Kluyveromyces lactis: one gene and its partner. The protein of the gene in region 1 interacts with the protein of each later gene in a pairwise test. Links are inferred from orthologs where the notes say so. Each region holds a gene or a part of one and is shown in the gene's direction. Other genes may lie near its edges.

The links. The genes of interacting proteins can lie anywhere in the genome.
Region 2: the proteins of CBK1 (region 1) and TAO3 interact in binary tests that used the Saccharomyces cerevisiae proteins (3 or more experiments, as listed by UniProt). The link is inferred for Kluyveromyces lactis from reciprocal best matches to the Saccharomyces cerevisiae genes CBK1 and TAO3.

The regions. Positions count from the first base shown.
Region 1 is NC_006040.1:668,604-672,363, reverse strand, and holds CBK1 (serine/threonine protein kinase CBK1), read left to right. Parts: upstream 1-1,112; coding exon 1,113-3,269; downstream 3,270-3,760. Other genes in the region: RPL42A (60S ribosomal protein eL42), read left to right, coding at 276-592. UniProt on the Saccharomyces cerevisiae protein: Protein kinase that seems to play a role in the regulation of cell morphogenesis and proliferation.
Region 2 is NC_006042.1:443,335-447,094, forward strand, and holds the start of TAO3 (Tao3p), read left to right. Parts: upstream 1-1,338; coding exon 1,339-3,760. Other genes in the region: MET18 (Met18p), read right to left, coding at 1-861. UniProt on the Saccharomyces cerevisiae protein: Seems to play a role in cell morphogenesis.

The DNA.
Region 1 (3,760 bases):
GGGTTATTTGTTGTCCCTATGTTTCTTAATTCGGTGTAGTCGAGACAACCTCAGAGAATTGTATATCAGTGAAGTCAACGCTACACTGACTGAACATAATTAACAGGAACTCAGTCGTATTAAACAACTGGGGTTCAGATAGCCTGGACCTCCCTATACAATAAGAAGAAGAGAATAGAATTCCTGCAATCAAAATAAGCTGGATGAAGCTAAAGAATATTTTTTTACTAACATCGACATGTATCACTATCTTATGATATGTTAATTTCTAACAGTTAACGTTCCAAAGACCAGAAAGACTTACTGTAAGGGTAAGGAGTGCCGTAAGCACGCCCAACACAAGGTTACCCAATACAAGGCTGGTAAGGCTTCCTTGTACGCTCAAGGTAAGAGAAGATATGACCGTAAACAATCTGGTTTCGGTGGTCAAACCAAGCAAATTTTCCACAAGAAAGCTAAGACTACCAAGAAGGTCGTTTTGAGATTGGAATGTATGTCCTGTAAGACCAAGACCCAATTGGCTTTGAAGAGATGTAAGCACTTCGAATTGGGTGGTGAAAAGAAGCAAAAGGGTCAAGCTTTGCAATTCTGAGATTATCTTTTGGAAGACCAATTTGTTACCATTTGTCAATTTTTTAACTTTTCTATAAGTATTACGAATTCACATATACTCTTTCATCACATTTATAATCTCATATCTGTCATTTGTATAGTTTAGTCTCCACTGGGTACTTCTTCACTTTGCGATTTGTATTATACGTATTCTAAGTATAATTTTCAGCAGAACGCATAAGAGTTTATTAACAAGAATTGTTTACAAAGAATAGCGTAGGACTCAGGCTACATTATTGATCCTGCAGGCAGTAAAGCTTACATATGACCTTAGCTAATATAACATGTACATACTCACCATGTATACCACTTTTTTCATTCCATTGTCTAAAATATGTTTTCAATATTTGCCATAATCGCCAATTTCATTGGAAAAACAAAAACATCGAATCAAACTTGTTTTAGAAAACAACGAACATGAAACTATACTGTTAACGTTTAGAGACATATTTCACGTCAACAAGGCCGTTTGGACGTCGCTACTTCAGCAACAACACGTAATGTACGGTGGATATTCGAATCAGAACTACTATCAACAGCCTTCTGGTCGTCCAAACGATTTTCAGCAACAGGGAAACATGCCCTTTTCGGAACCTTCTCAGCCCATGTTCAGCACCAATTATATGAAACAACAAGGATCACAGCCGTCTTTACAAGACCGTCTGACCCAACAGCAATCGCAACCTCAGTCGCATAATAATCAATATTATCCGAATGGAGGGTTTACTGATGTGCCCAACTTGAATTATCCAGCGACTCCACCACCAACTCAAAGCATTTATTCACATAACAACAACTCTAATTCGAAGGTATATCAATCCGCTCAGCATACATCTCCCGGTCAATATTCTGTTGCCAGTGAGTCCGGTTTGTACATCCCGCCACCACTGCAGCAACAGCAGAATGGTCAACAGAGTCCTGTGAGATCGGTACATCAACAGACACAGCAAACACCGCCAACATTTACTCAGCAACAAAGCTCTTCCCAACCTCAGTCACCTCAACACAATACGTATCATGCACAGCAGCAGCAGCAGCAGCAGCAGCAGCAACAACAAACTCAACAGGCCCAGCAGCAAGGACAACGACAAACTCAGCAACAGTCTCAGCAGCAAGCTCAACAACAGAATGGATCGGCGAATAATTACATGTATTTTGAGAGAAGACCTGACCTATTGACCAAAACTACCCAAGACAAAGCAGCTGCTGTTAAGCTCAAGATAGAGAACTTTTATCAGAGTAGTGTTGGTTATGCTATTGAAAGAAATCAAAGAAGATTGGAACTGGAATCCGAATTGGCATCCCAGGACTGGTCCGAGGAACGTAAGAATAGACAGCTTGCTTCTTTAGGTAAAAAGGAGTCACAATTTTTGAGACTACGTAGAACGAGATTATCGTTGGACGACTTCAATTCAGTGAAAGTCATCGGTAAAGGTGCCTTTGGTGAAGTTAGATTGGTACAAAAGAAAGACACAGGCAAGATATATGCTATGAAAACATTGCTGAAATCGGAAATGTACAACAAAGATCAGTTAGCTCACGTAAAGGCTGAAAGGGATGTTCTAGCGGGAAGTGATTCTCCGTGGGTTGTTTCATTGTATTATTCCTTTCAAGATTCACAATATTTGTATTTAATTATGGAGTTTTTGCCGGGTGGTGACTTGATGACCATGTTAATCAGATGGCAAATTTTCACAGAAGATGTGACAAGATTCTACATGGCAGAATGTATACTTGCTATCGAGGTCATTCATAAATTGGGCTTTATTCACAGAGATATTAAACCAGATAATATCTTGATAGATATTAGAGGCCACATTAAACTATCAGATTTTGGTTTGAGTACGGGGTTCCATAAGACTCACGATTCAAGTTACTACAAAAAGTTATTACAAGAGGACGAGGCAAAGAAACAACAGCAACAACAACAGCAACAACAGCAATTAAATCTACAAAAACCTCAGCTCCCAAACGAAACAAACAATGGTAATAGAAATACAATGTTGGTTGACGCCATTCATTTAACCATGACAAATAGACAACAAATGCAAACTTGGAGAAAGTCGCGTAGACTAATGGCATACTCTACTGTTGGTACTCCGGATTATATTGCACCTGAAATTTTCCTGTACCAAGGTTATGGTCAGGAATGTGATTGGTGGTCATTAGGAGCTATTATGTACGAGTGTCTAATTGGTTGGCCTCCATTTTGCTCTGAAACACCACAAGAAACGTATCGTAAGATCATGAATTTCGAACAAACTTTGCAATTCCCCGATGATATTCATATTTCTTATGAAGCTGAAGATCTAATCAGAAGATTGTTAACTCACTCTGAAAATCGTCTAGGTAGACATGGTGGTGCCGATGAAATTAAGGCACATCCTTTCTTCAGTGGTGTTGATTGGAACACTATCAGGCAAGTGGAAGCTCCTTATATTCCTAAGTTGTCCAGTGTCACAGATACTAGGTTCTTCCCAACTGATGAATTAGAAAATGTCCCTGATTCACCAGCAATGGCACAAGCTGCAAGACAAAGAGAACAGATGATGACACAGCAACAAGGGGTTCCTCAATCCAATGCAAAGGAAGATTTACCATTCATCGGGTACACGTACTCTAGGTTTGATTATCTAACTAGAAAGAATGCTCTATAGTAACGCTCTCTGTACATAACCGCGACGGAAGTTCCTAAATATAATAAAATAAACGAAAGTAAGAAATACTACCAAGAATTATAAACATTACGGTCATTAAAGTGGAGAAAATGTAGATACAGCTGATTCCCAATAGATCATAATCAAATTGACTCAATATCAGGCGCCCAGCAACGTACTTGGTATTAAATCTACGCTTCAACACAAATTATTAAAACCAGGAAATAGTGAACAACACATAACCCGGTCCCCGCGCAGAACGAAATCTTACACAGGGATAACCGTGGAGCGATAATATTGATGTTGATCTTTTAGGAAACAAATAGTAACTAAGGTTAAACTAAAATAGTTCTAATGTATTTAATCATTGAAAGGCCTATAAGTGGAAACGAAGAAATATGTATCTGATTTTATATACTGGCAAAAAAAATTTCATGTTAGTGTGAATGATCTCCTTACTCCGGGTAACGGAGTTTATCAAAGTGTTTTCC
Region 2 (3,760 bases), on another chromosome or scaffold:
TGCTTTGAGGGTCAGTATAGTATCATTTTTAACAGTTGGTGACGATGCTGCCAATTTATCTAAGAGGTTCCCAAAAGCATCCTCCTCAAACTTTTCCGTGGCAGTGATGGCACTTCTCAAGGCTAGTTTCAAATCATTATTGGTAATTTTGTATGGATCATTACTTGGGGGTTTGAACATGATTGGGAAGTAGCAGAATAATATATCAAATAATTCCTCCTTGAAACTGTCAATGTTGCGTAAACCGGTGCTAATATCAGAATTCAAACGGAAAGATATGAGAAGATTTCTAGGATCTTTCTCACCAGTTGCAACAAGAATAAAAGTTTCGATATATAAGTCATTCAATTTGAGATTGCCCAACATCTGGGATTTGAATTTGATAAGTATATTATCCATAATCCTGAATCCGAAATATCTAGTCGCAGCCAAAAAGTTAGTAGGTTGATAGTCATTTCCTAAAAGTTTTAACAGCTTTTCGACGTGACTAACGTAAAAACAGTCCATTAGTACTAATGAGTTGATCCCTTGTAGTGTTTCTTTCATGCAGCCTGAATCTTCCATCTTACTTTGGTAGAAATCGAATATCACTGAAACATCATTCTTCTTTAGTACCGCTGGTGAAATGTGTTCCAATATACAAGATAAACAGCTCAATGCATTTTGTCTGGTGCTATCGTCATCAGAGGTTAAGTACTCTCGTAAAAATATTACAATTCGTAACAATTCAATGCTCTTTCGAGTTACCTCATCAGCGATCGTATTGGCCAATTTGTCTGCCACAGAAGTATTAACCTTTGCATTAGCCATAAAACTGACAATGTCTGCTTTCAATTTATCTTCTGTATAGTCTGTCGCCATTATGGTACGATATAAATATTTTACAGTGATAGGGCGGTCTTCAATGACAAGTTTATCGAATGCTAAAGCACTAAATAACTCGTTGAGTTCTTACTCGTTCTTGTTGACTAAGGTTGGGTTTTATTCCACATTACGATTTTGATATGTGCAATGCTTCCGATTAGGCTTAATTATTTGATTACCCGGAACACTCCGTATCATGTGACCAGATCAAGAATAACAATTCAGTGAAGTTAACAGTAGGAGATGACGATGAAATGATCTGCATAAGGGAGTGGAAGAAAGAATTGCTGTCTACGCGGTAAGAGATCGTTATTCATAATTGATCGTGTTCCCAAGGTTTATGGAATACGAGAATTTGGGTTGAATTGTGCTTTTATCAAAAGGCCTATTGTCACGAAAATTCGCTTTCCAATTGTTTTAAATCATAATAAGAAAGGTCCAATACTGCCAGATATCCACAACTTACAATTGGACATGAACTCTGGGTTTATGTTTCCTCCAGTGGGGAAAGAAAACAGGGCACATGGTACCTTACTTTCTGATGATATGGGTAATGATTTTAAGTTTCCAAGTGAGAATGTGAACCAAGTAGAGGTTGAAAAGCAACAACAGTATCCTTCCACCCAGATTGACCAGGGGGCTGTGCAACATAGCAATACAGATTATCCTCAACAGACACTGAATATCATAGACATTCCACCGGTAGATCCTAATGGTGTGACCCCAGAACAATTCCATATCAATGCATTGCAATTGAACAAGCCGGGAGATAACCTGTCGAACAAAATTACAAACAATATAAATTACAGCATCAACGAGGTATCTCAGCAACCAAGACCTGATCCTGCATCTGCTAATAGTACATCCTCATTCCCCGATGAATACGTTGCCGGATTAAGACAGAAATCGGCAACTGACTGGAAAAGTCCGTCTGAATACGCATTACACATTCTTTTCACAAAGTTCGTAAGATTTGCCGAGATGAAGCTTAATATATGTTTACAATATCCGAGAGAGACGGAACCTCCAATTATAGAAATTTTAGGAGAAGGCAAGGATATAGAATTTGACAAAATTATAGAATCGTTGGGTTTCATTTCCAAGAAAAATGCGAAACCGGTAATAGATGCAATGATGTTTTGGAGGAAGACAAAGTCTGAAGTAGCTGCTTTAGCAGCGGAAAAACTGGATAAAATCATGCAAGAATATGAGCAGTATGTGAAGAATAATGAGCAAGTTCTGGCAGCTAGTCGAACTCACTCAAAATCATCTAGCTCAGCTAGCAGCAGGTTGACACATAGAAGAAATACCTCATCAAAGTCCTCTACAAGCCTGAATTCTCATTCAGATCCCAAATTTGCATCATTAGAGAACCAGGTAGAGAGAACAAAAGAAATGGCTTTCCAGGCCGATAGAAAATCTCTTATTACCATTTATATTTTGTGTCGTGTTTTGATCGAGATTGTCAAGCAGAATCCTATGGACTTTGATGATGAGTTAAGTACGAAGCTTGAAGGTATCGTTTTCACACAATTGAAGACTACCGATCCATCATCACTGTCTTCAACGCTAATTAAATCAGCAAATTGGAACTCGTTCGCGGAATTATTAGGCTGGATGAGTGAAAAAAAGTTTATCTCTGTCAGTGATAAATTTATAGCAGATCTCGAAAAAATCCCTCCCAAAGTTCCCCGTGATCAAGAGCCCTCTGTGCACCTTTTAATCCTAGGAATGCGTTATTTGAGGCTTAAAAACTATCCTCTAGAAATGTTTGAGGAAAGTGCAGGGTTCATCAAATCTATTTCGAAGTTCTTTGCTCCGTCCCAAAACACTTCTATTCGTTTGGCTTATGCTGAAGTACTAAGTCAACTTTTATTGCCGTTGGCTGGAGCAATGACAGCAGAGGCTAATCATCCAACGTGGATAGAAGCAATGACGTCGATCCTAGCTACCTGTAAAAAACTTCAAACTGACAGCAAATGCTGGACACTTGCTTTCAAGTTGACCGTGGCAGTGTTGTGTGTCTCAGATACTGAATTGTTTTCCAAAAACTGGTTATCTTTGATCGAGAAGAACGTTACCAAAATTAAATCTAAGTCATTAGAAGATCGTGTTGCTTTCTCCATGGGCCTTTCAAGGTTGATATGGGTCTATCTTTTCAGATGTACTGAAACCTTAAACAATACAGACAAAACGTTGACAAAATTGTTCTCGTTATTTTTGAGTTCAAAGAAGAAGGAGAACTGGATCACGACAGATATGGATATCATAAACCCTCTATGTGATGTTTTCGTGACTGTGGGATACGTTCATCCTACCTTCGTATTTGAAAATGTTCTTCTACATTTGATGAAATCCTCCTTTAATGGGACGAATTTAGAGAATATTGCACATGAAAAATTGATACTAGTCATCAATACTTATAGAGGATTACTTATGACTAAAGAAAGGCCTATATTCCCTGATGGAGAACGCAGGTTCTATGAAGTTGACTTGAATAAGATATCGGTACATTCTTCGGATAAAAATTGGGCCAATCATGAGGAACTTGTGAAGTATTTGTACAAACTTTTCATGTTACTTGATTCTAATATAGGATCAGAGGTGTGGTCACCGGAAAATGAACACCGTCGCCAACCTTCCACACCTTTCTCAAATATCACAAATTTTGGTTTCGGAATCAATAATGATAACAGTGCAAATTATGCACGAAGCCTGAATATGGCACTTTTTGCAACCCTTATTGAGGTTTTGCCCTGCTGTTTGTCAGTGTCTCAAAGCATTCCATTCAAATCTACGATTGAAATTCTATCCAGGAATGCTGTCCACGCAGATCAGCTGATTGCGACAAGTGCCCAAAATGCATTGAAAGTATTAGCTGCCAAAAAGAATCCCT